Macaca mulatta: one gene and its partners. The protein of the gene in region 1 interacts with the protein of each later gene in a biochemical or structural test. Links are inferred from orthologs where the notes say so. Each region holds a gene or a part of one and is shown in the gene's direction. Other genes may lie near its edges. The genes, in order: MAPK1, DUSP3, JUN, PPP2CA, GAB2, CACYBP and DUSP1.

Evidence for each region.
Region 2: of the proteins of MAPK1 (region 1) and DUSP3, one has a biochemical effect on the other in vitro, tested with the Homo sapiens proteins (2 studies listed by BioGRID and IntAct). The link is inferred for Macaca mulatta from reciprocal best matches to the Homo sapiens genes MAPK1 and DUSP3.
Region 3: of the proteins of MAPK1 (region 1) and JUN, one has a biochemical effect on the other in vitro, tested with the Homo sapiens proteins (2 studies listed by BioGRID, with this or other methods). The link is inferred for Macaca mulatta from reciprocal best matches to the Homo sapiens genes MAPK1 and JUN.
Region 4: of the proteins of MAPK1 (region 1) and PPP2CA, one has a biochemical effect on the other in vitro, tested with the Homo sapiens proteins (2 studies listed by BioGRID and IntAct). The link is inferred for Macaca mulatta from reciprocal best matches to the Homo sapiens genes MAPK1 and PPP2CA.
Region 5: of the proteins of MAPK1 (region 1) and GAB2, one has a biochemical effect on the other in vitro, tested with the Homo sapiens proteins (2 studies listed by BioGRID). The link is inferred for Macaca mulatta from reciprocal best matches to the Homo sapiens genes MAPK1 and GAB2.
Region 6: of the proteins of MAPK1 (region 1) and CACYBP, one has a biochemical effect on the other in vitro, tested with the Homo sapiens proteins (2 studies listed by BioGRID). The link is inferred for Macaca mulatta from reciprocal best matches to the Homo sapiens genes MAPK1 and CACYBP.
Region 7: of the proteins of MAPK1 (region 1) and DUSP1, one has a biochemical effect on the other in vitro, tested with the Homo sapiens proteins (2 studies listed by BioGRID and IntAct). The link is inferred for Macaca mulatta from reciprocal best matches to the Homo sapiens genes MAPK1 and DUSP1.

What each region holds. Positions count from the first base shown.
Region 1 is NC_133415.1:31,122,731-31,126,886, forward strand, and holds the start of MAPK1 (mitogen-activated protein kinase 1), read left to right. Parts: upstream 1-1,356; 5' UTR 1,357-1,576; coding exon 1,577-1,695; intron 1,696-4,156. UniProt on the Homo sapiens protein: Serine/threonine kinase which acts as an essential component of the MAP kinase signal transduction pathway. MAPK1/ERK2 and MAPK3/ERK1 are the 2 MAPKs which play an important role in the MAPK/ERK cascade.
Region 2 is NC_133421.1:68,127,572-68,131,821, reverse strand, and holds the start of DUSP3 (dual specificity protein phosphatase 3), read left to right. Parts: upstream 1-1,450; 5' UTR 1,451-1,493; coding exon 1,494-1,618; intron 1,619-4,250. UniProt on the Homo sapiens protein: Shows activity both for tyrosine-protein phosphate and serine-protein phosphate, but displays a strong preference toward phosphotyrosines. Specifically dephosphorylates and inactivates ERK1 and ERK2.
Region 3 is NC_133406.1:181,864,979-181,869,095, forward strand, and holds JUN (transcription factor Jun), read left to right. Parts: upstream 1-1,317; 5' UTR 1,318-2,301; coding exon 2,302-3,306; 3' UTR 3,307-3,634; downstream 3,635-4,117. UniProt on the Homo sapiens protein: Transcription factor that recognizes and binds to the AP-1 consensus motif 5'-TGA[GC]TCA-3'.
Region 4 is NC_133411.1:143,104,930-143,108,429, reverse strand, and holds part of PPP2CA (serine/threonine-protein phosphatase 2A catalytic subunit alpha isoform), read left to right. Parts: intron 1-3,314; coding exon 3,315-3,488; intron 3,489-3,500. UniProt on the Homo sapiens protein: Catalytic subunit of protein phosphatase 2A (PP2A), a serine/threonine phosphatase involved in the regulation of a wide variety of enzymes, signal transduction pathways, and cellular events.
Region 5 is NC_133419.1:78,843,459-78,847,520, reverse strand, and holds the start of GAB2 (GRB2-associated-binding protein 2), read left to right. Parts: upstream 1-1,262; 5' UTR 1,263-1,375; coding exon 1,376-1,453; intron 1,454-4,062. UniProt on the Homo sapiens protein: Adapter protein which acts downstream of several membrane receptors including cytokine, antigen, hormone, cell matrix and growth factor receptors to regulate multiple signaling pathways.
Region 6 is NC_133406.1:32,456,533-32,460,729, forward strand, and holds the start of CACYBP (calcyclin-binding protein), read left to right. Parts: upstream 1-1,397; 5' UTR 1,398-1,638; coding exon 1,639-1,653; intron 1,654-3,205; exon of another isoform or gene 3,206-3,466; intron 3,467-4,197. UniProt on the Homo sapiens protein: May be involved in calcium-dependent ubiquitination and subsequent proteasomal degradation of target proteins. Probably serves as a molecular bridge in ubiquitin E3 complexes. Participates in the ubiquitin-mediated degradation of beta-catenin (CTNNB1).
Region 7 is NC_133411.1:181,644,710-181,648,937, reverse strand, and holds the start of DUSP1 (dual specificity protein phosphatase 1), read left to right. Parts: upstream 1-1,428; 5' UTR 1,429-1,661; coding exon 1,662-2,028; intron 2,029-2,306; coding exon 2,307-2,452; intron 2,453-2,776; coding exon 2,777-2,996; intron 2,997-3,438; coding exon 3,439-3,809; 3' UTR 3,810-4,228. UniProt on the Homo sapiens protein: Dual specificity phosphatase that dephosphorylates MAP kinase MAPK1/ERK2 on both 'Thr-183' and 'Tyr-185', regulating its activity during the meiotic cell cycle.

The sequences.
Region 1 (4,156 bases):
CATCTGTACCAATCTGGGTCTGTTTCCGAACGCAAATGTATCTCTCATGTGTTTCGACCCACTGACCCCTAATCCCTTACTCTCTGCTTTGTATTTCTTTTTTCTTTTCTTTCCTTTTTTTTTTTTTTTGGAGACGGAGTCTTGCTCTGTTGCCCAGCCTGGAGTGCAGTGGCGTGGCTCACCGTAACCTCCTCCTCCCGGGTTCAAGCGATTCTCCTGCCTCAGCCTCCCGTGTAGCTGGGATTACAGGCACCCACCACCACGCCAAGCTAATTTTTGTATTATTATTATTTTGTTTTCGAGACGGAGTCTTGTTCTGTCGCCCAGGCTGAAGTGCAGTGAGGCGATCTCAGCTCACTGCAACCTCCGCCTCCCGTGTTCAAGCCATCCTCCTGCCTCAGCCTCCCAAGTAACTGGGATAACAGGCGCCCGCCACCGCGCCCAGTTAAATTTTATATTTTTAGTAGAGACGGGGTTTTACCATGTTGGCCAGGCTGGTTTTGAACTCCTGATCTCGTGATCCGCCCGCCTCAGTTTCCCAAAGTGCTGGGATTACAGGCATGAGCCACCTCGCCCGGACTTAATTTTTGTATTTTCAGTAGAGACCTGGTCTCAAACTCCTGATCTCAAGTGATCCGCCCGCCTTGGCCTCCCAAAGTGACAGGCGTGAGACACCGCACCCTCCCTTCTGCTCTGTACTTCTTCATCCTACTTATCACAACTTGAGTATTACACGTATTTGTCTGTCTGTCTCTCTCTAAAAAGTAACTCCCAGGAACATGGAGTGTGCTCAACAAACATCTGAACCAACCTGATTCGCGTATCCTCTCTGTCTCCTTTTAATCTCAACAATTGTGTTTCACACTTTCTCAGTATGCAAATATCTTTCTCGGTCTGGGGTCATGCCTTTCGGTTTCTGCCCCAGTGCCAAGGCCTCTTAAGTTCATCAGCGTGTGGACCACGGATTCGCAGAGGCCTGAGCTGTGGCGCGGCCGGGCTATGGCGCGTCGTCGGGCCTCAAGCACAGCCCCTTGTCCCTCGCTGGCTCTGTTCGGTACTTCCTCGGGTGCTCGCCCGGGCCCCTGCCATCTCTCACTTCAGCCCCGTGGGTTCTGCCCCACGTCTGTCTCCCTGGGTGTCTGAAGAGACAAGTCCCGCGCCGACGCCCCCGCGAACGCACGTGACCGCGCCCGCTGGTGCCCCCTTAGTCAACGCCGCGCAGTACCCCTCCCGGAGCCCGCCGCTTCCGCTGGGCCGCGCGGCCCCGCCCCCAGCCGCTAGGAACCAATCCGCATGCACGCTGCTTGGCCCCGCCCGGGCACCCTTCTCGGCGCGCGCCCCTCCCTCCGCCCGCCCGCCGGCCCGCCCGTCAGTCTGGCAGGCAGGCAGGCAGTCGGTACGAGTTGTCGTGGGCTCTTCAGGTCTGCCACACGGCGTCTTCTTTCCTCCTCCCGGTCAGCGGCGGCGGCTGCACCGGCGGCGGCACAGTCCCTTCAGGAGGGGCGATAGAAGCTGAGCGGCGGCCGCCGAGCGTCGAGCTCAGCGCGGCGGAGGCGGCGGCGGCCCGGCAGCCAACATGGCGGCGGCGGCGGCGGCGGGCGCGGGCCCGGAGATGGTCCGCGGGCAGGTGTTCGACGTGGGACCGCGCTACACCAACCTCTCGTACATCGGCGAGGGTGCCTACGGCATGGTGTGGTGAGTGTCCGCGCCCGGCCACGCCCGGCCCCCCCGCCGCCCGGGGCCGCAGCGGACGCAGCCTCGGCCTCGCCGGCGCCTCGGCCTCGGGCGCCGCGGCGACCTCGAACCCGGACTTCACTGCGGTCCGCGCGCCAGGGCTCGGGCGGGGCCCTGGGCCGGTTGAGGTTTAGGTGGTGTTGCTCTCGCGCTTCCCGGGCCGGCGGTCGCTCGGGAAGGGGCGCAGCGTGGGGGGCGGGGGGCGGAGGCCGGGACTAGTGGACCCTCGGCCCCGGGCGCAGCGCCGCCTTTAAAGTCTGGACCCTCGGGAAGGCAACGGAAGCGCCTCCACCCCCCAATTTGCTAGTATCATGGCCTTCTTTTGGACTTTCGATTGTAAAACCGGGAATTCCATCAGATGCTTGTCGGTGTTGGCGGCGGTGGCTGCTGAGGTCCTGAAAGCGGTTCGCCTCCGTGTGTGTGCAGAACACCGAAATAATTTTTCTCTCCTCGCCTCTGTTTGCAGCCAACGGCTTTCATTAACTGTCCTCAGCGGTGCTAATGGTGGTCTCCGCGCAGGCTTTCTAAAATGGATTACTGACACCAGTGTTGGTGGAGTATTTCCGTCTTGAAGTTTGTACTTTCAAGTGGATTTTAATATCGTACTGCTAGCGTTTCAGGAAGGATAAACCAACATTACTCTCTTCATTTATTAAAGATCCATTTAGAGTTGGGCCTAATTTGACTTTTTTTTTAGCCCCCAAGTGAGCTCTTTTACCAGCATAAATGCTCCCAGATGTTTTAGCCCAATTGCTATGGACTCCTGTTAATGATTTAGTGGTCATTATGTATGCAGCCTTAATGGAGTTATTGCAGAATCACGTGTAGACTCCCTCATCTTGATTCAGGTCCCTTAGAAAAGTGAAATGATAGTGACGGTTTTTCTTTCTCTCTTTTTTTTGAGACGGGGTCTCGCTCTGTTGCCCAGGCTGAAGTGCAGTGGCGCGATCTCTGTTCACTTCAACCTCCGCCTCCTAGGTTCAAGCGATTCTCTTGCCTCAGCCTCCCTAGTAGCTGAGACTGCAGGCGCGCGCCACCACGCCCGGCTAATTTTTGTATTTTTTAGTAGAGACAGGGTGTCACCATGTTGACCCGGATGGTCTCGATCTATTGATCTAGTGATCCGCCCGTCTCGGCCTCCCAAAGTGCTGGGATTACAGGCGTGAGCCACCGCGCGCCGCTGACGGTATTGTTTTTATTAAAGCAAACTAGCGGTAGCATTTTGTGCTGGTGAGGACTTGTGGAAATAGATTTCCTTAAATCTGAATCTTGTGAATGTGTCTTTTGTGTTGACTGAAGGAAGTAAACTAATAATTTATTGAGCACTTCGTGGCAGGTACTGTGCTACATATATTATTTCATTTTATTTGAACAGCCACATTGAGGGAGGAAAAGATGGTGTTATTCCTTTTTTCAGGTGAGAAAGTGTTTCGAGGTGAAGCCAATTCCTGAGGTCATAGAACTAGAGTTATTAAGATTGTAGACTGAGATTCTACTAGACACACTGCAGCTCTTTTCAGCTGTCTTTAGGAAAACACTCTGCGTTCCTTAGTGTAATTAATACTTGCAGAATTTTCTGTATCTTACTGTTACAAAGTAAATACAAGTCTGTTTCAGAAATGTATTCAAATTTCAATCATCATAATTTTAGAAATGCCATAGAAGGCATGTTTTACCAAGTATGGTAGCTAGATAGAAAGATTAGTTAAAATTCTTTTAAAAGAGACTTTAATTGAATCTTTAATGTTTTCACTTTCTTTAGGAGCAAAATGCTGAATACAACTGTGAAAATTAATATGAACTCACAGGCTTAGGAGCCAAGAGAGAATTTAAATTAGGTCGAGCCTAAAAGAAATAAGGCCCTGAAAAGTAATGAAGAGAAAGTATTGCCAGTAGCATTATTTCTCCACCATACATCTCATTGCTGTTGCACTCACTGGGAAGCGTGCCAGTGAACATGTCTCATTATGAGAGGCTCAGAATTTCCCATCACATCCTTTGGCCCTTTTAACAAGATTAGCTTATCTAAAATGTGGACTGAAAAAAGTCTTTTACGTTTAGGACATGTCAATTGAAAAGATACCCCCATCTGATAAGATTTCTCCTGTCTGATAAGATTTTTACTAGTCTGAAGTTGTTTAGATGTGGGAACCACTTCTGTCACTGCTGTAGGCTTATTTGACCATCTGACTCTCCATTTGAAATGCTAAGTCCTCTTTTTGTGATTTTCTTTTCCTAAGTGAAATACAAATATAATTGGAATTTGAATCCTAGATCCAGATTATAGCCTTTTATCAGGTTGATGACATACCCTGCTGTTAACCTTCTCCATTGCACGTTATTAGCATTTAATAAATGTTGGCTAGCAGTGCTGGGTTTATGGAGGGCTTGTTGAAATATTCACTAATATTTGAATAGTGAT
Region 2 (4,250 bases), on another chromosome or scaffold:
GAGCATGGCTGGCTGCCTCTGGGCTTGTGTTTTTAATGCTAACCTAGGCTCAAGTCAAGGAACTCGAAAGCGTTCTCCCCTGCTTAGAATGCAGATGCTACCAGCCAACACCAGAAGGAAAGGAGTGGTGTGCTGGGAGGGGTGGCCAGGGATGGGGTGGGGTGAGGGGTACAGAAATTCCAGCCTTGGTTACACATCTTGGGCTATCAGCTAAGTAGTCTCCACTGCAATAGCTTGCCTGAAGGTGCAAGACCACAAGTTTTGGGGGAGGAGAAAGTTGACCCTAATGATAATCTGATCCAATTCCTTTTGCAAATGAGGAAACTGAAGACCACAGCAGCAGCAATGTTACTCAAGAACCAAATTAGGCCGGGCGCGGTGGCTCAAGCCTGTAATCCCAGCACTTTGGGAGGCCGAGACGGGTGGATCACAAAGTCAGGAGATCGAGACCATCCTGGCTAACACAGTGAAACCCCGTCTCTACTAAAAAATACAAAAAACTAGCCGGGCGAGCTGGCGGGCGCCTGTGGTCCCAGCTACTCGGGAGGCTGAGGCAGGAGAATGGCGTGAACCCGGGAGGCGGAGCTTGCAGTGAGCTGAGATCAGGCCACTGCACTCCAGCCTGGGCGACAGAGCGAGACTCCGTCTCAAAAAAAAAAAAAAAAAAAAAAAAGAACCAAATTAGTGGCAGGGCTGGGCTCAGGATGTGGGGTTCCTGAATTCAAGGCCAAATTTGCTCTTTGCAGGAAGGGAACTGCCAGTCTTTCATGGCAGTAGGGGAGGGCGGCTTTCCTCCAGTACAGACTATCTTTTGTACTTAGTGGGAGTTCAGGAAATGCTGAGTGGCTTATGGTGGGCTGGCATCTGCTCCAGGAAGGGCTGCAGGAGTCTGATTGATCTCCACCCCAGCACAGGGTGTAGCACCCACTGGGTGCTCAACGCATTTGTTGAGGAAGGACCAACACTTATTGAGTGCTCGCCATGCAGTGCTGGGTGCCTTCCTTGAATGTCACATTTAACTCTTCCAGCAATCACCTGGGCGCTTGATTCTGTCAAGCGCCCGGGTGATGCCTCCACAGCAGGGAGCCGCTCACGAGCCGAACCCCGCGGTCCCTGTAATCCTGAAAGACTGAAGGAACCTCTAGGTGTACCCCCGCCACAGAAACGTTTATTGGGCCCTGCATTTAATTCAGGGAAGGAAGTTACCGCGCTTCCCAGTTTACAAAGATACACAAAGATACACAAACGGCCTGGACCGGGATGGGGCGAGGATTCCCGAGACTCGAGGGCGGTGGCGTCTCCCCCCGGGGACGCGCCCAGGAGTGGCGCGCTGGGCCCCCGCGTCACGGCGCCCGCGCTCCTCAGCTCCCGGAGCCCTGCGGGCCCGCCCCTGGGGCGGGACTGGGCGGCTCCCGGAGCGAGCCCCCGCCCAGCTGACCCGCCGCTCTCCGCCTCGCTTGCTCCTGCCGGGCGTGCTGGGCCCCGCCGCCGCCATGTCCGGCTCGTTCGAGCTCTCGGTGCAGGATCTCAACGACCTGCTCTCGGACGGCAGCGGCTGCTACAGCCTCCCGAGCCAACCCTGCAACGAGGTCACCCCGCGGATCTACGTGGGCAACGCGTGAGTCCCCCCAGTGAGCCCGGCCCCGCCGTCCCTCTCGGGACGCCCCGCCCACTCGAGGCCGGGGTCGGGGTGTCGCGAGTCTTGGGTTGGGGGAGCCCGGGCGCGATCGCCCCTCCGGGAGCCACAGCGGGGGCTTGGGAGGTGGCTGGAGTCGACGCCTACCCCAGCGCGTGGGGCCAAGGAACTGGAACCCTGCCTGGCCGGGCGCGGCCATTCCCCGTCGCGGGGTGCACGGAGCCCGGGGGGCGCCTGCCTGGGTCCTCAGCCGCCACCCCCTTGGGGCTTGGCCTTGGGCGGGGTCGGGGCTACCATGTTCACTTAACAGGTGGCCCTCGGTCGCCCGGCCGGTCTCCTGCCAGCGCGTCATGTGACAGCTGCCTGGTTCTGCAGTGAGGTCACCGCGGAATGTCTGCCTTCGCCGCCATGGCAACGGGCCGACGTCACAATTCGGGCATGGAATTTTCCTGGCCCGGCAGTCCCGGATCAGGGAACCTAAACACCCCAAACGAGCGAGTCCGGGGAGCTGGGCCGGGATTTCCAGGCCCCCACCTTCCAGATGTGGTTTGATTTACAGGAGATTCTAGAACGGTCCACTGATAATCCCCCTAAGGACCTGAGCCATTACCTAGAAAAGGCTCTTGACCTTTCACTCCCAGGCTCTGTCACCCTGGCTGGAGGGCGCGATCTCGGCTCACTGCAACCTCTGCCTCCTGGGTTCAAGCAATTCTCCTGCCTCAGCCTCCCGAGTAGCTGGGATTACAGGTGCCCACCACCATGCCTGGCTAATTTTTGTATTTTTAGTAGAGATGGGGTTTTGCCATATTGGTCAGGCTGGTCTCTTGGCCAGGCTGGTCTCAAACTCCTGCCCGCGTCGGCCTCCAAAAGTGCTGGGATTACAGGCGTTAGCCACTGCGCCTGGCCAGTAAGAATTTTTTTTTTAATTTAAATTTTAAAATTTTTTATAGTAAGAATGTCTAATCAGCAGAAGAGAACCAGTGTTAGAATTCTGAGATGTGAAATAGGAGCCACAAGAAAGAATAGATTAGCATGCCTGTACAGCCTTGGAAAGGCTCAGGTTGGATTTTCATGAGACTCTGAGGACCCAGTTACCAAAATCCTAAGCTCCATGGCTCAGCCCAAGGATGGCATGTTGAAAATTCAAAACTAACCCTCCTCCCATTTTACAGAGGAGGAAATGGTGGCTCAGAGTGTGTGAGGGACTACAAGGACAGGGTCAATGTCTTGTTCATGTATGTATTTCCTGACCTCTGCTAGGACCTGCTGTTCAGCCTGCCAAGGACTGCCACAGAAATGGGGTTCATCGTGGAACTAGAAGGGGTCCATCAGGCCCTAGCCTCATGGGGACAGTTCTCATCCATTCCATCATTCATTCACCAGTCTGAGCGCCTACTTTATGTCAGGCACTGTACAATGTTCATTCATAGTAGAGATAGTAATAATGATAATGGTAAATTTTTTGAATATTGAATTATTAATAGTATTAGAGGCCTGGCGCGGTGGCTCACACCTGTGATCCCAGCACTTTGGGAGGCTGAGGCAGGCGGATCACCTGAGGTCAGCAGTTCAAGACCAGCCTGACCAACATGGTGAAACCCTGTCTCTACTGAAAATACAAAAATTAGCTGGGCGTGGTGGCCGACGCCTGTAGTCCCAGCTACTTGGGAGGCTGAGGCAGGAGAATCGTTTGAACCCGGGAGGTGAGGTTGCAGTGAGCCGAGATCGTGCCATTGCACTCCAGCCGGGCAACAAGAGTGAAACTCCATCTAAAAAAAAAAAAGTATTAGATGAATGGGAGTGACTCTTCAAAGGATTTTTTTCTATCAGCCACTGCTTTACAGTCTTGTGCAGTGTCCTAAGCAGGAATAAACAGAGTCCCACAGTGTCAGCCAAAGGCTTCAGGAATTGCAAAGCTCTAGAGACACCCTTCCTCTTGCCCCAAGCAGCAAGCAGGCCTTGTTAGCCTCAGGAACGCCGCTTGCTTGGGCAGCTTGGCCATTCAGCTGTCATCACTTCCCAAGTGGAAACCAAGGTTGTGCACGTCTGGTGTAGCCAGAGTGGCAATTGCTGATGGCCCCTGTAGAAAATACATCCCTTGCCCTCTAAGCACATCTGACTTTGACTTGGCCAGGGGTGTGGAGGTTCCTCAACAGGAAGGATCAGTGAGCACCAAGCACCAAGAGGACTTGGGCTCCATCCCCTTAACAAAATCAGGGCTGCAGCCATGTCCTCACAAGGCAGAGACAGAGCCTGTGTGAGCCACATTTGCCAGGCCTTGGGGGTTTTGCAGCAGATGTGGGCATGAGAGGCAGAGTGAGGTGTAAGATAGAGCAGGGCTGGATGTCGGGAGAAAGGAGATCTTCCCCCAGCTCTGCCACCGGCAGCACATGGGGCCTGTGCTTATCCCTCTGCTCATCCTGTTGGCCCTGAGTTCAAGCTCTGTTAAGCGGGGATATTGCCATCCTTGTTCCTCACAGGGCTGCTCGCAGTAAGCAAACAAGATCACATAGGAGGTAACATTTTATAAAGTATAAACTGCCATTTGGGCTGGGATGTTTTGTGAGATGAAATAAAAGGGCCTTTTCACCATTCAAACCAATTATGATTTTTA
Region 3 (4,117 bases), on another chromosome or scaffold:
AGGGGTGGGGGGCGGGGGGAAGATAAAATAACAACCGCGGAAAAGGAACCACTTACATGTGTCTAGCGCTTCCTAGAGGCTACTCAGGATATGGGCCCACCACCCGGCCGGGAAGGCGGAGATTTGAAGTCCAGGTTCTACCCCGGGCTCCTGAGTTCTACTGCGTTACTTTATGCGAGTGTCCCCCGCCTTCTGAGCTTGTTTTCCCGGAAGCAACTCGGCGCGGGTGGAGAGTGTGTGCGTGTGTGTGTGTGTGTGCGCGCGCGCATGTTGTGCGTGTTGTGTTAAGCGTGTGTGTGTTGTCCGGGGGCGGGAAGGGGAGTAGACTAACACCGGGGTTCCCCGAGTTTCGGATCGCCTACACGCTTGTTCCCATCTGGACCCTGTTACCCACTAATTGCGCCCACTATAAAAACTGCCCCTCGGAGGCAAAGCTGTGATCCCCCGCGCCCTTTCCCCCACGGTCCCGGAGGATGAAGTGGGGTGCAACGGAGACTCAGCTGAGCGTCCAGTTTTGGGCAATACAAATCTCTCAGCTTCTAAGAGCAGCCAGACAACCCCGCGGACCATCCCTCCTGAACTTGACCGAGATGCAAACTTCGCAGCGTTTCTCAACGTGGGGGGCCGACTCTCGGGAGACCGCCCCCAAACTTAAGCCCCCTTAGGCTCGCCCCCAACTGGGACTTCACAGAGCCACCTTAAGGGCGGCGCTCCCGCCCCCCGGAAGTGCGGGGGGGCGGCGGACCTGGACTCTCAGCCTCCCGCCCCGCGCGGTGGCGGACGCCGGTGGATGACTTCGAGCCCCACAAGTGGGGAAACACAACCACCCCTCGCCCGCACCCTTGACCCAAAACAACTGGCCGGGTTCCCTGGCCTCCCGGGTCCCCGCATCCCCTGCATCCCAGTCCGCAGCCGTGAACTTGAGCCCCCTCCGTCAGATGTTGCGAGCGTCCGCCCGCTCGCGGCAGCCACCGTCACTAGACAGTCAAACCCCAAGACGTCAGCCCACAATGCACCGGGCGGGCCGGGAAAAACGGCCCGGGGAGGGGACCGGGGAAGAGAGGGCCGAGAGGCGTGCGGCAGGGGGGAGGGTAGGAGAAAGAAGGGCCCGACTGTAGGAGGGCAGCGGAGCATTACCTCATCCCGTGAGCCTCCGCGGGCCCAGAGAAGAATCTTCTAGGGTGGAGTCTCCATGGTGACGGGCGGGCCCGCCCCCCTGAGAGCGACGCGAGCCAATGGGAAGGCCTTGGGGTGACATCATGGGCTATTTTTAGGGGTTGACTGGTAGCAGATAAGTGTTGAGCTCGAGCTGGATAAGGGCTCAGAGTTGCACTGAGTGTGGCTGAAGCAGCGAGGCGGGAGTGGAGGTGCGCGGACTCAGGCAGGCAGACAGACACAACCAGCCAGCCAGGACGGCAGTATAGTCCGAACTGCAAATCTTATTTTCTTTTCCACCGTCTCTCCAACTGCCCAGAGCTAGCGCCTGTGGCTCCCGGGCTGGTGTTACGAGGAGTGCCCAGAGAGCCTGGTCTCCAGCCGCCCCCAGGAGGAGAGCCCTGCTGCCCAGGCGCTGTTGACAGCGGTGGCGAGCAGCGGTACCCACGCGCCCGCCGGGGGAAGTCGGCGAGCGACTGCAGCAGCAAAGAACTTTCTCGGCCCGGAGGACCGGAGACAACTGGCCCAGAGTCCCGGAGCGAACTTTTGCAAGCCTTTCCTGCGTCTTAGGCTATTCGGCGGCGGTAAAGACCAGGAGGCGGCGGACAGCCACGCAAAAGAAGAAGGACGTGCGCTCAGCTTCGCTCGCACCGGTTGCTGAACTTGGGCGAGCGCGAGCCGCGGCTGCCGGGCGCCCCCTCCCCCTCGCAGCGGAGGAGGGGACAAGTCGTCGGAGTCTGGGCGGCCGAGACCCGCCGCTGGTCGGCCTCTGCGGGTCGGCACTGATCCGCGCCGCCGGGAGAGCCGCTGCTCTGGGAAGCGAGTTCGCCCGCGGACTCCAAGGAACGGCGGCGCCCGAAGAGCGCTCAGTGAGTGACCGCGACTTTTCAAAGCCGGGTAGCGCGCGCGCGAGTCGACAAGTAAGAGTGCGGGAGGCATCTTAATTAACCCTGCGCTCCCTGGAGCGAGCTGGTGAGGAGGGCGCAGCGGGGACGACAACCAGCGGGTGCGCGCGCTCTTAGAGAAACTTTCCCTGCCAAAGGCCCCGGGGGGCACGGGTGTCCCCCGCTTGCCAGAGCGCTGTTGCGGCCCCGAAACTTCAGCACGCAGCCCAAACTAACCTCACGTGAAGTGACGGACTGTTCTATGACTGCAAAGATGGAAACGACCTTCTATGATGATGCCCTCAACGCCTCGTTCCTCCCGTCCGAGAGCGGAGCTTATGGCTACAGTAACCCCAAGATCCTGAAACAGAGCATGACCCTGAACCTGGCCGACCCAGTGGGGAGCCTGAAGCCGCACCTCCGCGCCAAGAACTCGGACCTCCTCACCTCGCCCGACGTGGGGCTGCTCAAGCTGGCGTCGCCCGAGCTGGAGCGCCTGATAATCCAGTCCAGCAACGGGCACATCACCACCACGCCGACCCCCACCCAGTTCCTGTGCCCCAAGAACGTGACAGACGAGCAGGAGGGCTTCGCCGAGGGCTTCGTGCGCGCCCTGGCCGAACTGCACAGCCAGAACACGCTGCCCAGCGTCACGTCAGCGGCGCAGCCGGTCAGCGGGGCGGGCATGGTAGCTCCAGCGGTAGCCTCGGTGGCAGGGGGCAGCGGCAGCGGAGGCTTCAGCGCCAGCCTGCACAGCGAGCCGCCCGTCTACGCCAACCTCAGCAACTTCAACCCAGGCGCGCTGAGCAGCGGCGGCGGGGCGCCCTCCTACGGCGCGGCCGGCCTGGCCTTTCCCGCGCAACCCCAGCAGCAGCAGCCGCCGCCGCAGCCGCCGCACCACCTGCCCCAGCAGATGCCCGTGCAGCACCCGCGGCTGCAAGCCCTGAAGGAGGAGCCTCAGACAGTGCCCGAGATGCCTGGCGAGACGCCGCCCCTGTCCCCCATTGACATGGAGTCCCAGGAGCGGATCAAGGCGGAGAGGAAGCGTATGAGGAACCGCATTGCTGCCTCCAAGTGCCGAAAAAGGAAGCTGGAGAGAATCGCCCGGCTGGAGGAAAAAGTGAAAACCTTGAAAGCTCAGAACTCGGAGCTGGCGTCCACGGCCAACATGCTCAGGGAACAGGTGGCACAGCTTAAACAGAAAGTCATGAACCACGTTAACAGTGGGTGCCAACTCATGCTAACGCAGCAGTTGCAAACATTTTGAAGAGAGACTGTTGGGGGCTGAGGGGCAACGGAGAAAAAAAATAACACAGAGAGACAGACTTGAGAACTTGACAAGTTGCGACGGAGAGAAAAAAGAAGTGTCCGAGAACTAAAGCCAAGGGTATCCAAGTTGGACTGGGTTGCGTCCTGACGGCGCCCCCAGTGTGCACGAGTGGGAAGGACTTGGCGCGCCCTCCCTTGGCGTGGAGCCAGGGAGCGGCCGCCTGCGGGCTGCCCCGCTTTGCGGACGGGCTGTCCCCGCGCGGACGGAACGTTGGACTTTTCGTTAACATTGACCAAGAACTGCATGGACCTAACATTCGATCTCATTCAGTATTAAAGGGGGGAGGGGGAGGGGGTTACAAACTGCAATAGAGACTGTAGATTGCTTCTGTAGTACTCATTAAGAACACAAAGCGGGGGGGAGGGCTGGGGAGGGGCGGCAGGAGGGAGGTTTGTGAGAGCGAGGCTGAGCCTACAGATGAACTCTTTCTGGCCTGCCTTCGTTAACTGTGTATGTACATATATATATTTTTTAATTTGATGAAAGCTGATTACTGTCAATAAACAGCTTCATGCCTTTGTAAGTTATTTCTTGTTTGTTTGTTTGGGTGTCCTGCCCAGTGTTGTTTGTAAATAAGAGATTTGGAGCACTCTGAGTTTACCATTTGTAATAAAGTATATAATTTTTTTATGTTTTGTTTCTGAAAATTCCAGAAAGGATATTTAAGAAAATACAATAAACTATTGAAAAGTACTCCCCTAACCTCTTTTCTGCATCATCTATAGATACTAGCTATCTAGGTGGAGTT
Region 4 (3,500 bases), on another chromosome or scaffold:
TTGTGTTTTTAGATACTTTTGAAGTATTATAAATGTATAAACATACCAAATGTCAATGTTTACATCAGCTGGTCACGGTGAGTCGTGGCTGTAATCCCAGCACTTTGGGAGGACAGGACAAGGTGGGCGTATTGCTTGAGTCCAAGAGTTTGAGACCAGCCTGGGTGACATAGTGAGACCTTGTCTACAAAAAAATAGTAATAATAATTAACCAAGTGTGGTGGCACAGGCCTGTAGTCCCAGCTACTCAGGAGGCTGAGGTGGGGAGAGTTGCTTGAGCCCAGGAGGTCGTGGCTGCAATGAGACTTGATCTTGCCACCCCACACTGTAGCTTGGGTGATGGTGAGACCCTGTCTCAAAAAAAAAAACAAGGAAGAATCTTGTTCAAGTAAAAAAGATTTTTTCTGAGGAAGAAATTCAAGAAAACATTTGCTGTAAATATTTAACAGTGAATATGTACATTATAGTTTATCTCAGTTGAATAGTTTCCAGCCATTAACCATGACAGTAATAATCTAGAATAGGCTGGGTGCAGTGGTTCGCGCCTGTTATCTCAACACTTTGGAAGGCTGGGGAGGGCGGAGAGGATCACTTGAGTCCAGGAGTTCAAGAACAGCCTGGTCAACATAGACCCCATCTCTACAAAAAGTTAAAAAAAAAAAAAAAAAAGCCAGGTACAGTGGTGTACACTTGTAGTCTCAGCTACTCAGGAAGCTCAGGTGGGAGGATCACTCGAACCTGGGAGGTCAAGGCTACAGTGAGCCATGGTGCACCACTGCACTCCAGCCGTGTGACAGAGCAAGACCCCTGTGTCTTCAAAAAACAAAACTCTAGAACAATAGAAATGATAACTGAAAAAAGCAAGTTCCAAAATTACATGCATTACATGCCAGTTGTAGCTTTGCAGAATGTACCGATGATGATCTGAACATGAAGCAAAACATGGTAAATAGCTGTTAGGGTGGCAGGCTTCCGCCTTTCCCTTTAAATAAATTGTTTGACTTTATCTTTACCTAAAAATCTTGGGGAGATTTTTAAAAAAAATTTTCCTAGGCAACAGACTGATTTTTATTAAATAATATTCAAAATGATAAAATGACTGTCACAGACTTTCCTAATATTAGAGAAGCATTGAGATGTGGTTTTAGCTTGAGCTGAATTTTCGTGATTAATATCTGAATTGTGTAAAATGCTACAAAATATTTTTGGAGGTTGTTATTTTCTGCAGCTGTAAAATGAAGGAGTTGGACTAGATGGTGGAAGGTTTCTGCGGTGACTCCAAATACTATGAAAAGAGCTAACCTGTGCTAAAAATAAAAACCCAGGATGAATCCAGTGCTCAAAGAGGAATGAGTGTGCTACCTTTAAGAGTTTATGCAAGCAGCCTGGGCAACCTAGTGAGACACCATCTCTTCAGAAAACAATTTTAGCCAGACATGTTGGCATGTGCTGTAGTCCTAGCCACTCTGGAGGCTGAGGTGGGAGGATTGCTTGAGCCTAGGAATTTGAGGCTGCGGTGAGCTACACCAGTGCAGTTGAACCTGGGTGACAGAGTGAGACCCTATCTGGGGGGGAGAAATTACTCATGGAGGTGTAATGGGCTGAATTGTAGCCCCCAAAATTCATTTGTCTAAGTCCTAACCCACAGCACCTCAGAATGTGACTGTATTTGGACAGGTAATTAAGGTAAAGTGATGGGGTCACATGGTTGGACCCTAATCCAGTGTAAGTGGTATCCTTATTAGAGATTAGGACACAAATGGGGAGAAGATAAGAGAGATGGAGATGATGAGCATCCATAAATCAAGGAGAGAGGCCTTCAGAAGAAACCAGCTCTGCTGACACCGTGATCTTGGACTTCTGCCTCTGAAACTGTGAGGAAGTAAATTTCTGTTGTTTAAGCTGCCTGTTCTTTGATGCTTTGTTGCGGCAGCCTTAGCAAAAGAATACCGGGAGAGAGGATGTTTCTTTCAGTAAATGGTGCTGAAGCAAATGGATCAGAATGTATCGTAGATCTAAATGTAAGAGCTAAAGCTACAAAACTTCTAGAATAAAAAACCAGAAAATCTTTCTCAGGTTAAGTAAAGATTCTTAGATATAACAAAAGCACAATCCATAAAAAATTGAAAAATTGGACTTTATCAAAATTAAGATTCTGTTTCTTCAAAAGATGACACCAGAAAAGAAGTACTTGTATTCAGATATTAGAAAACAAAAGCAAACAACAACAAAAAAACAACTTTTATAGCTCAATAACGAGACAGATAATTGTTAAATGGAGAAAATATTTGAATAGATACTTTACCCAAGAAGATGATACATGAGTGGTCAATGAGCACATGAAAAGCTGCTTGATATCAATTGTAATCAGGGAAATGCAAATTAAAGTAGCTGAGATACTACTTCACACCTATTAGAATGGTTGTAATCAGTAAGGTTGATAATACCAAGTGTTGGTTAATACCGGAGATTAAACTCTTCATGCATTGCTGGTGGGGATATAACATGGTCTAGCTACTTTGAAAAACAACTTGACGGTTTCTCAAAAAGTTAAACATTACCACATGATCCAACAATTACATTCCTAGGAATCTTCCCAAGAGAAATGAAAGCATATGTCCACAGGAAAACTTCCACGCATATGATTATGGCAACATTATTCATAGTAGCCAAAAACCTCAATAACATAATTACCAGTTCATCTTACCTGTGAATAGAGAAACAAAAAATGGTATAGGCGTACAGTGAAGGACTGTGCAACTATGAAAAGGAACAAACCACTGATCTATGCCATTACATGGGTGAGCCTCAAAAATATTCTAGGTGATATTAGCCAAAAGACTACATTTTGTATTCCATTTATATGACATTTCTAGAAAAGACAAACTTAAGACAGAAAGTAAATCAGTGGTTGCCAGGAGCTAGAGTGGGAGTGGAGAGTGACTGCATTAGGGATCTTTTTGGGATAATGGAAAGGTTCTAAAACTGGATTGTGGTGATTATTGCATAACTATAAATTTGTGAAAAATTATTGAACTGTAAAGTAGTTTATGTGGTTTTGTATGCCATTGATTATGTTTGGTATAAAGTTGGTGGTAGAGGGAGTTTGATTTTAGTTGAGATGATGTGGGCAAACATCCCATGGGCATTTAAACACTGTGTAGAGCTGTGGTTTTGGTTCAGTATGATATGAGGATGTGTGTTGTTTTTTCAACAAAATTGTAACTCTGCATTTTTTGCTATAGAAAGTTTCTTGAATTTTCATTGGTTTTTGAAAGAGCTAGTTGTTTATGTTTTGCATTTTGTTGTTTTAGGTTCGTTACCGTGAACGCATCACCATTCTTCGAGGGAATCATGAGAGCAGACAGATCACACAAGTTTATGGTTTCTATGATGAGTGTTTAAGAAAATATGGAAATGCAAATGTATGGAAATATTTTACAGATCTTTTTGACTATCTTCCTCTCACTGCCTTGGTGGATGGGCAGGTATGTGGATCT
Region 5 (4,062 bases), on another chromosome or scaffold:
GAAGAAAGTCAGTGAAATGTTAGATCCAGGAGACTGACTGCTAAAACTCCTAGGGTATCTAGAAGAGCTAAGTACGTGATAGCGGATTCGCTTTTCCAAACTGAGGAGGGTGAACTTCCCCCAACCCAATCAAGATCTGTTGGACCAAATGATGTCCAACTGCTTGAAACATCTCAGCTGCACAGAGACAGAAATGAACAAAACAGCTTTAGTCTAAGGTTGTGTGGGGCAGTGCAAGATGCTGCTTCTCCAATTCATCTGTCCACACAGCACGGTTCCCCATTGAATAAACAGGATACTATCCACTTATCAGAGAAGTTAGGGAGGACCTGCCTTTTAGTGCTGCTTGGAGAGACACTGTCAATGAGCGGGGACGTTGGGGAATTTGGACCCCAATTTCTTGTTCTTCTACACTTGACCTTGCCTTCCAATTCACTATGAAATATATTTACTAGGTTTGCTTCTTCCATTCTACAAATCATGCGAGTTTTCTATACTAAACTGTTTTCCTAGAGGCAATGTAGGAGGGACTCAGCTGGACTTTGTTTCCAGGCAATGAGAGGCTCCCAGGTTGATCCCATTAAGGCAATGCCCTCATTTTGAATAGGGGATGACTGGGACCCCTCCTCCCCCACACACCTGAATTGGAAACTTGGCTAGGCTTTGTACAAGCCCTTGCCCTTAGGCAGTCCATAAAATGGGAACAATACTGAAGACAATCCTGTAAGCCAAGAGTGCAAAGGCTCCGGCGCGTAGTAGGTCCGTCTCCTCCTCCCGCCGAGGGGCGCCAGAGTTAAGGAACTTCTTACTGGGAAGGGGTCCCTCCTTTCAGCAGGAACCTGACCCGCAGAATGGATCGGAAACGCGAGCAACCCTCGGATCCCTTCCCCGTCGACGCTCGGTGAAAAATCGATCGACGACGGAGGGCGCGCAGTCCCTTCTCCGCACGCCCGCCAGCGCCAGGGGCGCGGCCGCCTCCCCGGCCTCCGCGCCCGCAGCTTGAGGCCTCAGGAGAAAGCGAGATTCCGGGGCTCGCCGGCGGCGGTGGCTTTCTGTGTCCTGGCGGATCCCCAGCCCCGCGTCCGCGTGCGCGGCGGCCTCGGGGGCGCGGCGGGAGCGGGCGTGGCGAGCGCGCCGGCCTTCCCGCTGCAACTGCCCCCGCGGCGGCCCGGCGGAGAGTGCGGATTGCGCGCGCTCGGGGCGGGGGAGCGGGCGCGCGCGAGGCCGCCGGGCGCGCGCCGCGCCGCCTAGTCCCCGCCGGGCCGCCCGCCCCGCCCCTGGCCTCCCGCGAGCTGCGCACCGCCGGCCGCTGCCCCAGCTGCCCGAGCCCGCGCCCTAGTCCGCGCGACCCAGCGGCGGGCTCCAGGCCGGCAGCATGAGCGGCGGCGGCGGCGACGTGGTGTGCACCGGCTGGCTGAGGAAATCGCCTCCCGAGAAGAAGTTGAGGCGCTATGTGAGTGCGGGCGCGGCCGCCGAGGGGCGGGCGGGCGGGGGGCGCTCCGGGGCCTGCGGAGGGGCGGGGGGCTCCCGGAGGGGCGGCAGGCTGGGGAGCTCGGGCCCGGAGCCGCGGGGGCCGGGGGCGAGGAGCGGCCAGGGTCGTGTGGGGTACCTGCACACCTGTCACAGGTGCGCCGCCGAGGGGCGGGGCGGGGCGGGCGGCAGGTTGAGGCTGCGGCTCCTGCTCCGCCAGGCGGGCGCGGCGTCGGCGCCTCCCCAGGCGGTCTGCCCGTAAACTAAATATAGTGTCGAAGTTTGTATTGATGGCTTCTGGAGACCGAGAGAGTTGACTCTCGGGGCTGGGGCTCCGCGGCGGCCCCTAGCAGCTTCAGCTCACAGGTCCGGGAGAGGGCGGGAAAGGGGGGCGTAGGCTGTGGGCCCGCGCGGACGGCCCCACAAAGGGCGAGCGCCTCACGCCCTCTCCTTCCCTTTCTCCGCCCGCCCCTCCCGGCCGCCGGCCTCACTCCGTCCGCGGCTGCATCACCGGCAGCGTCAGCGGCATGTGCAGCCCTTGTATTAAGTGACTCATTTGTTTGTCCCCCTTCTCTCCCTTTATTCCGTTCGTCTCTCACAGGCGCCTCCCCCGACCCCGGTGTGACACTGCAGTTTGGTCCCCGTGGCTGGCCCGGGTTTGGGACCTGGCAGCTCCCGGTTGTCTGGGGTCGGGAGAGATCGAGGCTCTCGGCGCCCAGGTGTTGCCAACCCACAGTGTTTACTGACATCGCTGGAACAGCCTCTTCCCTCTAGGTGGGGAACTGGCAGTTTGGGGGAGGTGGAACGGCGTGGCGCTGAGCCGTGGAGTTCTGGCTTTTTTTTTTTTTTTTTTTTTTTAACCCCTCTCCCCAGAGGATGCCTTGCCTGGTGAGGTCAAAGTACAAGATGGTGCCAGTTACTGAGATTTTGCCGAAATGGTCCTAGGGTAGTCGCGGGAGTTTGGAAGTGGGGGTAAGGTGGCTGGAAGGTTTCAAGGTCTCTCATCTGCTCCCTCTCCTTTTCCCATGAAATGCCCTTGTTTAACGGGCTGTGGTGCCGGACTCCGGGATCACTCCCACAGCCTGGAAGGGAGCCGTTGCCTCCAGCTGCAGTGCATCAAGGGAGCTCGGAATAGACCCTGCCCTCTGTCAGCTGCACCAGTGGCTGTCCATGGGGGGAGAAGCAGAAGCCTACCAGAATTTCCTGTCTTGGCTCCCCAGATCAGAATCAAGGGACTTCTGGCCTCTGGACTGAGGAAGTGACATTCTGTTTTTCAAAGGAAGTGTTGTTGTTGCGGAGTGCAAGTGTGTGTGTCAATGAAATCAGGCTCTTACGTAGATGTTTGCTAGGAAAAAAAAAATTCTGATTTAGCACATGACTTTTGAAAGTGGACGTGGATTTATAGGAGGGATGAAGCAGTGAATTGTTCATCTCAGTTTGAAAGCTCATTTTTAGGAGTGTCTATGTAGCCAAAGTATAATTATTAAGAAATACACTTTTTTCCTCTTCAGGCTTGTATCAGTTCGTTAGGAAGGTTGAATACTTTAATTAGGATTAAGGAGCAGTGATTTACTATTAACAATTTAATAAATATTTTTAAAACTTTGTCCCAAAGAGCTTCCAAAAATTATCTTTACAAATAGATTTCCATACAAGCTAGTGGAATAGAGTGTCCACAGTAAAAAAAAAAAGAAAAAGTGACCCTTAGTTTTCAAATTTGAACACTACACTAAACCTTGAAACTTGTTTTTGAAACAATTTGCAAACAGTATGACATTGTATCTCCATTTGACTTACCGCTCCTTGAACGCTCACCCAGACTCTCTTTATGACCCATTTCTTGGGTGTTTTTGTTCCCAAACAACTTTAGTTCAAAAAAACCAGGTTTGGAGGCATTTGGGTCAAGCACCTTTTTCACTCATTTGAACGAATCTAGAATCGTGTGATGGCCTTAGCCTCTCTTTCCCATCTTCGATGCACCTTCAGCCCATCAGGTGTCAGACCTTAACAGCTTTCAGTAACAGCTTTTCTTAGGCCAGGATGTGATGTGTTCACTTACATGACTGGAAGCCTCTGCCCTTTCGAAAGTTCAGTTTCCCCCCAGTTGAAACTGCTGATCTGTGTAACCTTAAGCTTCCGGGGAACAGTATTCTTTTACGTCTACTGTTTTTGGGGGTATTAAGAATTTTTGCATCCTGTTGTAAGTTAAAACTCTGCTAGTTTGCTTATTTCAGTAGAGGCCCGAGTTCATCAGAACCAAACTTGGAAAGTATTTCCCAGCCTAATGGCTGTATATTTACCCCAAAGTAGCTGCTGCTTCTGGTATACATCATAGTCATGTTATATTGTACTGAGAAATCCTCTTTATAAGAATGCCACAAGCATATGAGATAAGGGGAAAAAGTAGTTGATGAACTAGGTTATAACTATTTAAAACGATTTTTTAAAAAACTGATTTAATTCGAAGGCTGGGCGCAGTGGTTTATGCCTGTAATCCCAGCACTTTGGGAGGCTGAGGCCGGCAGATCACTGGAGGTCAGAAATTCGAGACCAGCCTGGCCAAAACCCCGTCTCTACCATAAATACAAAAAT
Region 6 (4,197 bases), on another chromosome or scaffold:
AAATATAATCTATAGAAGAAACTACGTACATAAAAATACGTTTACAACTTAATTTCTAAAGTGAACCCACCTATTTATAAATCAGTGTCTAAATCAAGTAACATTACCGGAACCTCAAAAGCCCCCTGGTGGCTCTTCCACGTCATTGTCCTTCCCACTACGCTCATTAACACCATGGGCTAGTTTTTAGACTTCATTTAAATTGAACCACACAATATGAACTCTTCTGTGTCTGGCTTCTTTCCCTTAATGTTATTTTTTGTGTGAAATTCACGCATGTTGCGCTTCGGTAATTTATTTTTGTACTGTACTTCCGATTCTTTATTACAGATAATGGTCAGCCTCCATTTCGCTAAGAGCTTTTTTTCCTCTCCGAGTTGCTGATTCTAATCGCTGCCTTGGGCGATCTATAAAGCTGAGTGCTCGCTATGTAACCTCTCAGGGGTCGCCGCCTTGGACGATCAAAAAAGCTGAGCGCGGGCTATGTGATCTCTGAGGGGTTGTTTCCAACCGTGTTGTTGACATCTTGAGCCTGCCAAGGACTAGAATAACCTGAAAACTAGGCTTCTCTGGGGTCTCGCTGAGAGGCAGCGTTAGAACCAGAAGAGAACATCGTCTCCAGAAGACATTCCACCATTTTCTTTGATGGTAAACAGGCTCACTTATACCGAATCCAAACCCAGGCGAGAACTACGGACTCTTGAAATGGTCGGTGAAAGAGGCGAAAGCACCAGGAAATTATGCTTCAACAGTCCACGACAAAAGGAGGGTCTGAAACTGTGGCCAAACGCCGACCCTTTCGTTAGGGCCTTGACCTGGGCTTCCGCCACGGGGCCGGGTCATGTGGCCAACGCAGCTCCACCTCCTACCGCGGCCAATGATGACGACACGAGGTCGGAGCGGACAGAGAGCGGTGACGTCTCCACTGCGGCAAACTCACTGAAAATCAAACCGCTACCATTAGGAGTCCTCCACGCTTAACATATCCATTCATTCTCGTTTGAACATAACCAGGCAGCTCCTTCTCCCCATTTTTTGCCTTCTCGCGGAGGCTGAGAGACTAGCCTTACACAACATGGCTGCCTGGTGTGTCTGGTGTCCTAGAACGGACGGAAGACTCTACTCATCTTCCGACTTGGACTCCGAAAATCGGTACGTTATTTCCGGGGCTGGGTTAAGGCAGCGGTTCCGAGCTGCGACTGCGCAGCCTGGCCTAGTGCGGTCAAATTACAATACATAAAGTTGTCGGGGTGGAGAGTAAGGCATTACTCTGCTCGGACTGCTGGTTCGCTCGCGAGACTTGAGCGTTGCTAGGAGATTCGGCAGGCGGGCGGAGCCAGACTCGGCGGGGCGGGGAGGGGCGGGGCCACACTCTGCGAGGCGGGGAGGGGTGGGGCCAGGCTTGGCGGGTGGAGCGTGCTCGCGGTGGGCGGTGGCGGCGGCGGCCTCGCGAAGGTTCCAGATCCGTCGCGTGCGGGAGGCGGGCTGCGATCTCGCGCAGGGTCGGTGTGCTCGCGGGCTGCGGCGCCGCGACTCGTGCGAGTGGGCGTCTGCGCTCGGTTTGAGGGCTCCGCGCGGCGTTTCCTGTTCTCTCCTCTGCGCGGCTGCAGCTCGGGCCTTCGGCCTGATCCAGCCCCCATGGCTTCAGAAGAGGTAAGTGGTTCGGCCCCATCTTCTTCATGCTCCCCGGCTGGAGCTGCAGTGCCAGCCTCCCGCCCCACCGCCGTTTCCGTGGGCTGAGCCGCCCTGCGGCGACCCGGTGCCGCGGCAGTCGGCGCGCCGCCTTCCCTGGGGGACGCCTCATTCGCCCTTTCCTGCGCCGTCGGCTCCCCGCGCTTCCCCTCGGCCTCGCACCCCACCCGCCTGCCGGGCCGGAGCAGGGGTGTGCGGCGATTCTCCGTGCAGGCGGTGCGGGGAGTGGGTCTGAGAGAGCTGCCCCCTGCGCGTGTTCCTCAGGCCCTTTCTGCGCTGGTTTCCCAGCCAGAGGACAGGAAGCTTCATTCAAGCAAAGCTGGGTGCAAACATGAGTGTCGTTTATGGTAGAGGGCGGTTGGAGGGTGAGAAGTTTTCGGTGCTAGCACTTGAATTCTCTTAGTCATGTTTTCTCTACACACGAGGAGCTGTGTTACTCTGGGCAAGTTGTTTAGCTTTTCAGTGTCGCAGTAGCATCCGTTTCATAGAGTTGTTAAAAAGTATGATTTCTAGGGGTTTAAACCAGTGATTGGCAAACAGCAATCTGCTGTATGTGATTTTTAAAATAAATAACTTGGAAAATTAGTTGTAATTAATAGTAAGAAACCCAATGGCCTGTGTTAAAGCTCCGTAAACTCTGAACGTTGGAGAATTAAATTTTATGGAGACTTGGTTTGCTCAGTTAGAAAATGGGAATGATAGTACTTGTATTGCTCATTTCCTGGCCTAAGGGGGAGGTGAAGACGGAACAGTTATTCACAGTTAAGTGTTGTGTGTGTAGTAACTAGATTTGCTTTATGAAAACAAGTACTGGGAAATCCCAAGCCTTTTTTTTTTAACTCAAAATCTTTTCTTTAAATGAAGAAAAACTCTGAGATTTGTGTGTTCTAGTATTAATCTAGGTATCTTGTGACAAGTCTTTTAAGGTAGGTCTTGGGTACTATGTGCCCCTAGGAGAGAACATCAGTCATGCAGGTGGATAGCTCAGTATTAGTCCTCTTGAGAGTAGAGAACGTTCTCAGTTTAGGTACGTAGAAGTAGACATTTAAGGGCACTTCATTTTTGTTTTGTTTGAGATAAAATTCAAGTTTTTAACCATTTTAAAGTGTATAATTCAGGTATTTTGTTTTTTTTTTTTTAAATATATTCAGTGTAGTGTAGCCATCACCACTGTCTAGTTTCAGAACATTTTCATCACTCCAAAAAGAAACCGTTTAGTGTCTTTTAAACAATTGCTTCCTATTCCCCCTCAGCCCCTGACAACTACTCATCTTATACTTTCTGTGAATTTGCGGATTCTAGGCATTTCATATAAATGGAGTCACGCTGTATGTGGCCTTTTGTTTTTTGGCTTCTTCAACTTAGCACTAACATTTTCAGGTTCATCCATGGTGTAGAGTGTATTAGTACACATGCTCTTTATGGCTAAATAATATTCTATTATATGCGTATGGCACATTGTGTTTATCCTTTCATCCGTTTATGGACATTTATTTCCACTTCTTTTTTTGAGATGGAGTCTCGCTCTGTCGCCTAGGCTGAAGTGCAGTGGCGCAGTCTCGGCTCACTGCAATCTTCGTCTCCCGGGTTCAAAGGATTCTCCTGCCTCAGCCTCCTGAGTAGCTGGGATTACAGGCGCGCGCCACCATGCCCTGCTAATTTTTGTATTTTTAGTAGCGACCGGGTTTCACCACGTTGGCCAGGCTCGTCTCGAACTCCTGATCTCAAGTGATCTGCCCGCCCGCCTCGGCCTCTGAAAGTGCTGGAATTACAGGTGTGAGCCATGGCGCCCTGGCTTATTTCCACTTCCTGACTAGCATAAAAATAATGCTGCTGCGAGTGCTGTGTACAAGTTTTTTGTGTGGATGTGTTTTCAGTTCTCTGGGGTATATACCTAGGAGTGGAATTACTGGTTCAAATGGTAACTTTTTGAGAAACTGTTAGACCTATTTCCAGAGTGGTTGCATCATATTTCCACAAGAAGTGTTTGAAGCTTCTAGTTTCTCCACATCCTTATCAACATTTGTTATTTTCTGGGGTGTTCTATTTTTGTTTCTTGGTTTATAACACCATCTTGCTGGGTGTGAAGTGGTATCTTGGGAATTTGATATGCGTTTACCCAATGATGAAGATGTTGAGCATCTTTAATGTTCTTGGTGTCCATTTCTGTATCTTTGGAGAAATGTGTGTTGAATTCCTTTGCCCATTTTTGAGGCACATTGGTGTTAATGCCTCCTAGTGAAAAATTAGGAAATAGGAAGATAGAGCTTGAATGCGTTACGGGTAGGGATAAAAGGGAAATAAAATTTTTATATACGTAAAACAAATACATGCCAAGAAGGCAAGGAAAATTACATGATAAATTAGATAAGAAACTATCTAGGACATCTTAAAGTATTTGTGCAGAAAAAGCAGATCTTTTTTTGGTTTCAAGTCTGCCAACAACAGAACTGAGGAACTGTCTCAGTTTTAAGTTTTTTCAGTGGATACTTTATAATAAAAAGA
Region 7 (4,228 bases), on another chromosome or scaffold:
CACAACGACGACAGAGGGTGGCCAGTGAAATCCCCTCCCCCAGGAGGGGAGGAAACCGCAGAATGTTCCTGACTCGGCACCCGGGCCGGTGGCGCAATGTTTATGTTTGTGTACCTAGCGCGTCGCGTCGCTGCAGCAGGCTGTGCTGTCCAGGGGGCCGTCACTGGGACTCAGGGCATGGATATCGCTGGGCGTTGGGGGCGGGGGGTCTTCCCAAGCGTTGCGATCCATGTCCTGGCAGTCCGCCCACAACGGCCCGGGATTGGATTTTGCCTTCAGCCTATAACGGAAGCGACGACAGGGAGCGAGGGTTGGGGCCGGCTTCTGTTCCGGGTTGGAGCCCCCCAGCCCAGCGCTTAGTGGGCGCTCACTCAGTATACTGCCTATTTGTGTAATAAAGGGATGGAGAAGCTCGGTCTGGAGCCAAGGTGACAGAAACGTGTCGGGCGGCCCCTGGGGGGAGCCGTCGAGTCGCGCTGCGGGTCGCCCCTCACCCCTCCAAACGCCAAACCCGGGAATCCACCGCGGGGCCTTGCGACCCCCGACCGGGATTTCAGCCCCTTGACCTGCCTTCCTTGGCTCCAAGTCTTCCAGGGGCCACAGACTAGGAATAGCATTATTTCCCGGTGGGGGTTTGCTCGCTTACACTTTCATGGCAAATGTAGATATTTTAAAGCCACCTTAAAGAAAGTCGGGGAAACAGGAAAGCATTGCCCTGAACCTCTCCGCCCCAACTCGCTCGAGTCGTTTTTGGTAGGAACGACTTTTCTATCGGCAGAGCTGTTCATTTTTCTCCAAACTTCATCTTAGGCGCCTCTGTGCTGCCCCACGCGCCGCCCCACCCCACACCCCAGTAGTGTGGTTCTGGGCAAGTCAGTAGCTTCGCTTGGGGAACCTCAGTTTCCCCGCCTGTTAGTGATGAGGAAATGAGAGAAAGGGGCACAAGAGTATGCAAAAGCGCAGGAAGCCCCTTTCGGCTCAGGTCGAAGGCCGAGGGGCACGGGGAAGGGGACTCGGGGAGGGAGAGACGGAGGAGCGGCGAGGCCAAGGCAGGTGGCACGTCGCCCATTCTCCCGGCCGCTCGCATCCCAGAGGTCAGCCTCAGCTGGCAGCGAGCCCTCCGCCTCCCCGCTGGGCCCGGAGCGCGGCGCGGGCCCAGTCCCTGGGGACGCGCCAAGAGCAGGCCGGACGGCAGGGCGGGGGCCGGGCCGCGAGCCAGCGCGCAGCAAGCGGACCCAGCTCCGAGGCTGATGACGTCTTCCCCTGTAGCTCGGCGGCGCCGGGCCGGGCAGGGCGGGTGACGTCACCGCCCCGTCACGTGATCACCATTCAAACAAACACCCTCCTCCCCCTGCGCGCGGGTCAGGCCCGCCCCGTCGCCCAGAGGCCTCATATAAACGAGCTCCCCGGATAGGGCTCGCTGCGAAGGACGTTCGGGCTGTGTGTGCGACGTGGTTCGAAGGGGCAGTCGGGGCAACCGCGAAGAAGCCGAGGAGCCCAGAGCCCCGCGTGACGCTCCTCTCTCAGTCCAAAAGCAGCTTTTGGTTCGGCGCAGAGCGACCCGGGGGTCTAGCTTTTCCTCGAAAGGCGCCGCCCTGCCCTTGGCCCCGAGGACAAAGAGCACCGCAGGGCTGATCACGCTGGGGGCGCTGAGGCCGGCCATGGTCATGGAAGTGGGCACCCTGGACGCTGGAGGCCTGCGGGCGCTGCTGAGGGAGCGCGCGGCGCAATGCCTGCTGCTGGACTGCCGCTCCTTCTTCGCCTTCAACGCCGGCCACATCGCCGGCTCTGTCAACGTGCGCTTCAGCACCATCGTGCGGCGCCGGGCCAAGGGCGCCATGGGCCTGGAGCACATCGTGCCCAACGCCGAGCTGCGCGGCCGCCTGCTGGCCGGCGCCTACCACGCCGTGGTGTTGCTGGACGAGCGCAGCGCCGCCCTGGACGGCGCCAGGCGCGACGGCACCCTGACTCTGGCGGCCGGTGCGCTCTGCCGCGAGGCGCGCGCCGCGCAAGTCTTCTTCCTCAAAGGTACGCCCTCGGGGAAGCTCGGGGCGGGCCGCACACCCCTGAGATTTTGCCCGGTACCCTCGGCTCTTGGCTCCCGGGGGGTCGCCCCACCTGCAGCGCGTGGGCGCTGGAGTACATTTATCTCTGGAACTTGTCATTGGCTTTGTTTGGCTCTGGGAACAAAGACTTGCCTGGGCCTTTCCGCTGTAAACTTCCAGCCCTTGGTGGGTGGGGGAGTCGTATGAAGGTGCCCTGTCCCGGCGTCACTGAGGAAAAAAAAAATGTCTTTGTATTCCCAGGAGGATACGAAGCGTTTTCGGCTTCCTGCCCGGAGCTGTGCAGCAAACAGTCGACCCCCATGGGGCTCAGCCTTCCCCTGAGTACTAGCGTCCCTGACAGCGCGGAATCTGGGTGCAGTTCCTGCAGTACCCCACTCTACGATCAGGTTAGTAGGTGTCCCTGCCACAGGGGAGAAGTAAGAACTGGCAAAGGCACGGAGGAGTGGTGCCAGGGAGAATATAGAAAGTGACCTGCAGCATTATTTATAACGGAGGGGACACAGGGATATGATTGTAGGCTCTACAGAAATGAATTTGCTGGTCCTGCCCAGGCAAATGGGCTTAGTTCCCTATTTATTTATCCTCCAGCAACAGAACTGAGTTCACTCGCTATCTGAAATTGACTTTTCCAGCAGAAAGTTTTTGTGGGTGTGGGCACTGGCCTTGGCTTTGAGCGAGCTTGATGAATGTTGGATATTTCTGGATTTCAGGGTGGCCCGGTGGAAATCCTGCCCTTTCTGTACCTGGGCAGTGCCTATCACGCTTCCCGCAAGGACATGCTGGATGCCTTGGGCATCACTGCCTTGATCAACGTCTCAGCCAATTGTCCCAACCATTTTGAGGGTCACTACCAATACAAGAGCATCCCTGTGGAGGACAACCACAAGGCAGACATCAGCTCCTGGTTCAACGAGGCCATTGACTTCATAGGTAAATGGAATGGATGCCTGGGGCTTTTCTGCCTCTCTCTTCTCATTTTAGCCCCTAAGCCCAACCTCTGTGGCAAGAGCTTGAAGTCTTATGAGCCTTCTTCCAGACATTCAGTATCAGTCTGGTGTGGGCAACATTCCTGCAAAATGTGAATTTGATTCAATGTCCCACTTTACAGATTTGCAAACTGGGGCTCACAAAGTTGAATTGACTGGTGTGAGATCTATCTGCTGAGTGGAAATCCCCAGTCTGAGTTTAAATCCTGTGCCATCCTTTGCGCAGTGCCCAAGTTGCTTCCATGAACAGTAGCCATGTGATGGCGTGTGGTGATGTTGACCATTTCTAGACAAGACACACATGACCTTTCTCAGATACACTGTACCTGGGCTTGGGGTGGTTCTCCTGAGCTCTCCAGTAACCAGCCGCTCCTTTTGTTTTCTAGACTCCATCAAGAATGCTGGAGGAAGGGTGTTTGTCCACTGCCAGGCGGGCATTTCCCGGTCAGCTACTATCTGCCTTGCTTACCTCATGAGGACTAACCGAGTCAAGCTAGACGAGGCCTTTGAGTTTGTGAAGCAGAGGCGAAGCATCATCTCCCCCAACTTCAGCTTCATGGGCCAGCTGCTGCAGTTTGAGTCCCAGGTGCTGGCCCCACACTGCTCGGCAGAGGCTGGGAGCCCCGCCATGGCTGTGCTCGACCGAGGCACCTCCACCACCACTGTGTTCAACTTCCCCGTCTCCATCCCTGTCCACTCCACGAACAGTGCGCTGAGCTACCTTCAGAGTCCCATCACGACCTCTCCCAGCTGCTGAAAGGCTGTGGGAGGTGAGGCTCTTCACATCCCACTGGGACTCCAGGCTCCTTGAGAGGAGAAATGCAGTAACTCTGGGAGGGGCTCGAGAGGGCTGGTCTTTATTTATTTAACTTCACCCGAGTTCCACTGGGTTCCTAAGCAGTCGTTGTGATGACTTAGCGTCAAGACATCTGCTGAACTCAGCACATTCGGGACCAATATGTAGTGGGTACATCAAGTCCCTCTGACAAAATGGGGCAGAAGAGAAAGGACTCAGTGTGTGAGCCAGTTTCTTTTTGCTCGCTCCTGTTTTTTGTAGAATCTCTTCATGCTTGACATACCTACCAGTATTATCATTCCCGACGACACATATACATATGAGAATATACCTTATTTATTTTTGTGGAGGTGTCTGCCTCCACAAATGTCATTGTCTAC